2 linked regions of the Oryza sativa Japonica Group genome follow. Each later gene encodes a partner of the first gene's protein in a complex. Links are inferred from orthologs where the notes say so. Each region holds a gene or a part of one and is shown on either strand. Other genes may lie near its edges.

What was found. Proteins that work in one complex are often made in the same cells at the same time.
Region 2: mediator of RNA polymerase II transcription subunit 33A (region 1) and mediator of RNA polymerase II transcription subunit 17 share a complex: the UniProt entries of both Arabidopsis thaliana proteins name them as parts of the mediator complex. The link is inferred for Oryza sativa Japonica Group from reciprocal best matches to the Arabidopsis thaliana genes RFR1 and AT5G20170.

The regions. Positions count from the first base shown.
Region 1 is NC_089041.1:6,111,362-6,115,348, forward strand, and holds the start of mediator of RNA polymerase II transcription subunit 33A, read left to right. Parts: upstream 1-1,187; 5' UTR 1,188-1,310; coding exon 1,311-1,585; intron 1,586-2,240; coding exon 2,241-2,351; intron 2,352-2,887; coding exon 2,888-3,232; intron 3,233-3,982; coding exon 3,983-3,987. UniProt on the Arabidopsis thaliana protein: Component of the Mediator complex, a coactivator involved in the regulated transcription of nearly all RNA polymerase II-dependent genes.
Region 2 is NC_089046.1:28,095,913-28,100,051, reverse strand, and holds the start of mediator of RNA polymerase II transcription subunit 17, read right to left. Parts: upstream 2,827-4,139; 5' UTR 2,621-2,826; coding exon 2,532-2,620; intron 2,445-2,531; coding exon 2,246-2,444; intron 2,150-2,245; coding exon 2,036-2,149; intron 1,873-2,035; coding exon 1,787-1,872; intron 1,701-1,786; coding exon 1,322-1,700; intron 1,124-1,321; coding exon 662-1,123; intron 586-661; coding exon 265-585; intron 1-264. UniProt on the Arabidopsis thaliana protein: Component of the Mediator complex, a coactivator involved in the regulated transcription of nearly all RNA polymerase II-dependent genes.

The sequences.
Region 1 (3,987 bases):
CATCGAACACGCTAAATGGAGTGGTAGATTTACACATGATTAATTAAGTATTAGCTAAAAGTATACACATGGAAAATGATAGGGTATAAGTTGGAAAAGCTTGCTGTGTTCTTTGTTCAGAGTTCCCAACCCCTCTACCTCGTGTTCCGTGCGCACGCTTTTCAAACTTCTAAACGGTGTATTTTTTAAAAAAAGTTTCTATATAAAAGTTACTTAAAAAATAAATTAATCTATTTTTGAAAAAAAGCTAATACTTAATTAATCACGCGCTAATGGACTGCTCTGTTTTCTGTGCGTACTGTTCCGGTTGGGAATCAGAGATACCGAACACATCCTAAAAGAACACGACTTTGATATTCCTTAGGGGAATGCTAGGAATCGGTCGCTCAGGGGAGGGAGAAAAATCGGGCGCTCCCTCCTCCCACGACGCGCACTGCCCTGGGCCCCACCACGTCTCTACCCCCACCTGCCACTTATCTCTATCACATACTCCATTGCAACAAATCACCTATATATTTTGGAAACACTCTATTAAGGGAATACATTTCATTTTTTTCCACGAAGAATGTTTTACCTTTTATACCCACAATATTCCACTGTGTATAGATCTAATGTCGCAGTGAACTGAAACATTCTTTCACTATTTGCTGAAACATTATTTTTATATAAGGTGAAACAACGCCCGACTTAAACTATTGAAACATTTTCGATCTCTTAGTGAAAAAATTCCGATATACTTGGTAGAATATCGTGCAACATTTTAAAATAATTCAATAATAAGCTAAATTTTTTTTCATCGGAATATATCTATGTGTGTGATCTTGTTTTGAAGATTTAATTGCAACGAATTTAATGGTGAAATCATGATTTGGATAAATAATTTAAGAGAAAAATTAGTTTAAAGTAGTTTTGCACGCATGCGTCATACTGATGTCAGCGTCCGATTTTTCTCCAAACCCATCGGTCGCCCGACGCGTAGGCTCCTCTTATTCCTTGAATTAGAATAGGTATGGCTACACGCCTACACGCACACAAGATAGATGAGGTGGGTGAGGCGGAGCAGAGGATCCGGCGGGCTGGGACCACCTCGTGTTGGTGCCTGGTGGTGATGCAGTGGGCGAAGTGGTTACACCAACGCGCACCACCACCACCATCTCTCTCTCTCTCTCTCTCTCTTCCTCCTTCCCACCAAACAAACATCCCACGCTTCGTCCCTCCCACTCCACTCCCCACCCCCGCGACGCCTGCGGCGACGACGACGGCGACGGCGAGGAAGGCTGGCCACGGCACGCGGCGGCGAGTAGTCCAGCATGGCGGCGCCCTCGGCGGCGGCGGCGTGGGTGGACTGGGCCGCGGAGTACACCAAGGCGGCCCAGGCGGAGTCGCGCCCGCCCGCGGAGTGGGCCGCGCGGGTGGCCTCCGTCGTCGCCGCCGCCGGGGACGCGCCGTGGTCGCCCGGGCTCGCCGAGATGCTCGCCCGCGCGCTGCTGTATGGCGGTGGCGGCGCGGCGTGGAAGTACGCCGAGGCAGCGCTCGCCGCGGGCCTCGCGTCGCCGGCGCTGCTCCTCGCGATCCTCTCCACCAGGTACGGACGGCGCGGCGCCCCCGCTCCCATCCATTGCCCTCCCCCCACGCGCGCGCAGTGGCGTTTGTGCGCGCGCGCGGGGAGAGACGAATTTGCGTGCGTGGTATCTGACATGGGCTCCTGCTCACGTGGGGTGTACTGTCTGATGGAATCCGCGCAATCGCGATCGGATCAGGCTACTAGTTTCGATCTATGAGATTTCCCTCGCAACCAGATTACCACAAATGCAAGTTGTTCTACAGCGTGGCCTGTACATGATCATAAACAATCTGATGTTTTGGGCCCTGTAAATTTGAGAAGGAAAAGGGATGGTGGCGTGCTTACTGTGCGTAATACCCATAAATTTGAGAAGTATATGAATGGCAGTGTATGTAGAGTACTCGAGTGTGCAGTGTAATGCAGATCAATTTAATACATGTATAGCAGCAGAATACTCTGTTTCATTTTTTTCACTTTTTTTCTTCTCTCTAGAGTCTAGATCATGCTAGTTGGAATAACAAGTGCAGTTTGAAATGTGCTTTTCAGCAGTAATCGTATAACCAACTGGCGAAATCCGTGCACATTTTCAATATCTGCTATGCTGCTGTGGAATGTTCTATAAAATAGAATATAAGACTGATTGCAAATATTCCGTTGATGGTTTCTCTCCATTCAGGGTCATTCCTCACCGGTTCACAAGGCCAACTGCATATAGACTTTATCTGGAGCTCTTGCGGAGACATGGATTCAATTTTGCTTTTCAGATGAAAGCGGCGAATTTCAAAAAGTGAGGTTTCCTTCTATGAGGTGTTCCCAGTAGTTTCATAATGCACGCATTCTATGTTCAGAGGTTTCGAAATATACATCACAGGAACATGTACATCATTCTGAACGATTCAGTACTGTTCAAAAGAATTATATAAGACGGGAATTTTAATACGATATGCTGACAATTAGAGTTTTGGGTGTCTACCACAATACATCTAGACCACCTTATTGCATCTGCATACTGGACATATCAAGATCTGTTCCAAAGAGCAACAATTTGCAAAGGAAGAATTTCACCTGGTTGAAAGGGCCAGTTCTGCAGTGATACATAATATTTTCGGTTGAATTGGTTAAGGTGTCACTTTATATGTTTTCAACTCGCATATAGTTCTTTCATGTTAGTTTTTAAAGAGTTTGTTTCTTGTGACATGTCTGTTCTGTTAGCATCCTATGTTTATGCCTTGTGTAGGTATCTGTCATTCTGTCTGCAACTTATCATTCCTTTAGTTGTCTTCTAAATGCAAAGTTTCATGACACCTTCTCATATTTCCGCAGGATCATGCAATTAATAGATGATAACCTTGGTCTCTCAAAGATATTTGGCTTTTCAACATGCGAACCAGGGGTTTTTGTTGTTGAATTTACCCTTTGCATGTTATGGCAGTTGGTTGATGCTGCATTAGATGACGAAGGCCTGTTAGAGTTGATACCGGATAAGAAAGCTCATTGGCCAACTAGATCAGATGATGTGAGTGCATTTGATGGAACTTTCTCTGAACAAAGAATAGACAAAATTGACAAGTTACAGAAGATGAATAATGTGATAACTATAGAGCTCATTGGGCATCTTCTTCATGACAAAGTAATTACTCATATCCTCTCATTGGCACGCGAAAACATGTATGGCTTTTCAACTTCATGTACTGCTTTACTGAGTTATTCCAGCTCTTTCTTCCTATCACTAAAAACAGTGAATTTATCCCTTTGTTATTATATCAATTGATAGCAACTTAATTTTATTTTAGTGAGTTAATGTATGGCTTAAATATCTCTGTGTTCCATATGCACCATATAATTGAAAACATTCTCTCTATTGGCTTAAGGTTCTCAAGTCAAGCTTCTGTGTCTTCTGAGTATACAGGGTATTGCCAATATTTTTCTGGAATATATCAGATTCATTGTATTTATGGAATGGCTGTACACTTTTATAAAACAACTGTCGACCGCAATGCTAAAATGTGAACTAATAGTACTCTAGAAGGACTACTGGTTGTATGAACAAGCAAGCTTGATTGGTTGCAACTGTAATGTTCAAATGATTTTCTCTACTACTTTATAACCAAGAAGGATCACTGATAGAATCATAGAAACTCTGGCCATGGGGGACAAGCTCTGATATACTCATGCCAATATTGTCTGATATTGCTGTTTGTGTTCATAACTGTACTAGAATCGTACACAAATGAACTATTGGGATAACAGTACATTGGTAGAAGGCATTCGTTTAAACTTCCAAAGTGGGGATCAAGGGCATCCTTAAGACACCACAACTGAATTCACTTACTGTTTTTATTTTTTATTTTTTTGAAAAAGTATGCTACTTTAATTTGTTATTATTACCACCAGTACTAACGAGTCTTGATGATTCAGGCAAT
Region 2 (4,139 bases), on another chromosome or scaffold:
TTTGAACTGTTAAGCAAACTAATCCTGTAGGTCAATAGGCACAAATGAAGATTTCCTCAGGGAAAAAAACTAAGAAAAATGCATTACCATTGTGCATTTCACATTCAAATGCAAGGAGTTTATGTTACACATTTGCAATGCAAGAAATAGTCTGGCTCATTGCATTATCAATGGACCATAATGAATTCCAATGGTAATAACTTTAATAATTTCATAAACATGATCTACCAAGAAATAATTTAAATAGTATCATCAGAAGTTTACCTGCTGCAGAAGCATTGTTGGGAGGTCCTCCAAGTCACAATTGTAGCTATTTACCAAATATCCATCGGAGGGCTTCCCAGTCAATGATCCAGCAATGCTTGGGGAGCCTTCACCCATTAGACTAATTTGGCTATCTTTCACGATCACCTTAGTATTGAACTGTGACCTGGATTTGTACTTAAGTTCATGGTTATCAGAAGGCTTTGCAATCCGATCTGCAGCAAGGATAGGCTGAGGAACTTTCAAGCATAGAGACCAGGAGGAAGTTCGAGAATGCCAAGTAGGAAGAGAACGCAAATGGAGATATGGAACCCTGCTGACCTGCAATACAGAAAGGAAATTTAAATAATGATCTACATGCAAATATGTAGCATCAACAAGCTTATAGGAGCTATACCACACTCTCAAGCTCCACGAGTACTTTGTTAGAAAATATCCTGTGAGCCACTGTCAAGCAGAAATGACCTAGCAGGCCATAATCATCACCTGCAACCTGAGCAGGACTTTGGTAGCGACCAATGTTAAGGGATTTCTCCCTGACCTTCCTAAGAATGTTCTCATGAAACAATTGTAGCAAGTAAATTTCCAGACTTCTGGGATTAGGAAACCCTGTCACGTCTTTTCTTAAAGGGTCCAGCTTCCCATTCATAGTGACCAACACAAGATTTGAGGCATCCTCTGAATTGGCATGGTCTTCATGGTCTACCATTTCTGAGTCACTACCATCTCCAGAATGAGCAAGCGAGAGGCACAATGAACATTCCTGACCAATAGCTAATTGGAGAAAATCTTCACGCATTCCAGTCACATTGATGCCTTGAGATTGGACAAATGTCTCACGGATCACCATATCAAATACCTACAAAGGCATACACTAAGCTAAGCCACAGAACGATATACATAAATAAATAATGATAAACCCGGGGAGGGAGGGGTGGTGGTGGTGCAAGATGTCATCACATGATATACAATAATTTTCCATGATGCTATAGTTAAAACTTAATTAAGAGCATTCTATACAGGAATTCTTAGCATGCCAAGCAAACACTTAGCTGACCTGCTCCTCAAATATTGACTTGTGGATGTTGCGAAGAATAGAATGTGCATGTTTGATGGATTTATTGACATCATCATTGTCTGTTTCAGAGGAAGTGATGCTTGAGATGCCATCTTTCAGTTTATGACCGTAGTTTTCCACACCATTGGCACTGTCCCCTCGAAAATTAAGACTCAAGAAACGGCAAGATTTTTGAGGGACTTGTACGGACAAAGTGCCTGATGAGTCTTGGTCAATTGGAATCAATGGTAATGATGACAGTCGAGGCATTGCTGCTGTGTCCAATTGAGAAGTGTCGATCAGATCAAACATGAAGCCCTCACTTCCTGGACCACTTCCACCAAACCGTTGCCGCTTCACTTTCCAGTTCTGCTGCAATCTGCCACCAATCCGCGAGTAATTCATGGTGCAAACTTGGGTGAAGTGGTATTGAAATAACAACTCAAGTTAAGCAACAAGACATGCCTGATTAATGAGCCATAGAACCTAGACTCTTTTTGGAACTGCTGCTCCATTGTTTTGGCAGATTGTTTGAAGTAGCGTGACAAATGCTGCGAGGACACAAATGAAGATCACAACAGGAAGCATGATAGATGCAAGACGGAAGAGGAAAGTGGCAAGCGATTACAGAAACAAATTGAGTTTGTTTTAGGTTCCATTTTGTTCCTTAGCCGTGAATTGAAGTAATCAAACATAGGCAGTAGGGTGACATACCCGAACGCGCTGAAGCTTGGTGGCTGCAGAGACTGCGGTGTCAACTAAGGTTTCGGTTGGCAGCGATTTGGGCTTGAGCATCCCAGCGACTGCCACTGCATCATTGGCTTCGACCTGCATTATCAAGTAGGATTGTCTCCTCTGTCAGGAATACAAACAATCGCATGCAAATAGAATGGGGTTTGCAGTATTGTGTGTGGGAAAACTGACAGTGGAGATGAGGTCAATGACGACGGAGAGCTCCTGCTGCGCCTGCTGCAGGCTCTCCATCATGCCCTGCCACGGCCATGCCTGCTGCTGCTGCTGCTGGGCGGTGTCCTTCTTGGGCTTCTTGGCGTCCTTGTCGATGACCCAGGAGAAGTCGATGCGGCGGATGGCGGAGAGGCGCTGCTCCTCGCTGCTGGTGTCGCTGCGGAATCCGAATCTCAGTGAACGGAGAGAGGTGGGGGTTAGGGTTTCAGGGGAAGGGAAGAGGTTGGTTTGGTTTGGTGCTTACGGCGGGTAGTGCTCGTTGCCGGCCTCGTCGATGGCGTGGAGGCGCTTGATGGGGAGCTTGTCGAGGTCCACCCGCACGGCTTCCTCCATGGCGAAGGCGAGGCAGCGGCGGCGGAGGGCTTAATTAGATCGGAGACAATTTTTTGAGTGAAGGAGGCACTGCCTTGGGGCTCACGAGTCCCGCTCAAGAGCGGAAGGGATCCCCCCGCGGGAAGCAGAAGCGGCGGCCGGCGGGGTGGGGGCGGCCGCCGGCGAGGTCGTCGGGCGGCGGAGTGAGGAGGAGCGAATTCTCGATCGAGTTTGGGTGCTGGACTTTGGAGTTTCTTCTCTGGAAGAGAGTATGATGGGCCTTTTTTGACTTTGGGCCGGCCTAACAAGTAAATGTTGCTGGGCTGGCCTGGACCAGTTCCAGACTTCCACTACTCCGAATGGGCCGGAGTTTCTTTTTTTATTTTCCATTTCTCAAGGCCCCTCGGGAGCAGGAATTATCTCCTAGCAATGGTAAAACGAAGGCTTATATCAGAGAGCTTTTTCTTATCAATGCCTACAAGACAACAAGGCCTGTTCTTCTGTTGTTCGTCCATGGATCACAAGTTTCAGGGAACAAAACTCTCTTTGGTGCCGGTGGCAATGATATTCCAAACTCAACCGCAAGTTGTGATCAATCTGCAACGTATCAGGGACGACGGATATTTCACAAAATAAGTAGTAGTATGTCGATTCTTCAGTCCAGCTTCTGAATTCCAGGCCTTTTGAAGTTGAGCAAGCAAGTAAATTCAGATAATCTCTCTGCAAACCAACTATACAGTGAGTGACTGAATTTCTACTTGCGCGGATCGATGTGCCAGAGCATTGCCAATCACAGAAACAAGTTGCAGATGAGATTGTCATACTAGCTTACAATCAATGCCACCATCCGCTCAAAACTCACAGCAATCAATCACAACCTGAAGAAACAATGAGGACAAACCACTGTCCACCGGATCGAGTTGGCAAAACCTGGACGACCAAGGGGGTTCGGAGAATAAAACTCCGACCCCTATTCATGAAAAAGAAAAGCACCGCAAACAATTCGTATCATAATTCTTGCAGGTAACACCGTAACACCATAAGTTTGAGAGAAATGCGCCAAATACAACAAATTTGGCGATTTGTTTGTTTTCTCTTTTTCAAAGGTAGCATATAGATTTGCCTTGATAATAGTATCAACAGATGCAGCGCTATAACCATATATACTCCATTTCTTCTCCATTCCCTTGCTTCATTGATTTATGACATACTCAGAAAGACTAAAATAAGCATCAATTTCACACTTCACAGGCCTGTTGTTCACAACTACTGAGCTGCTGTGTTATTGTATTGCTACTAATCAATACCAGCATCTCTTTAGAAAAATCATTAGCGATACACAGCTTACATTTTATTGGATATCACTGTCATTGTATCACATCCACTCCTCCCAGATCAACATATGCAATCATCATGCCTATGCCAGTTTTTTGCATGGTAAATTCTACTACTACCAGTGGCCCAGTGCCATGTGATGTCAACCCCAACAGCTTTGTATATTATTACCCCTTATTATAAACGCATCATACTCACTATTGGG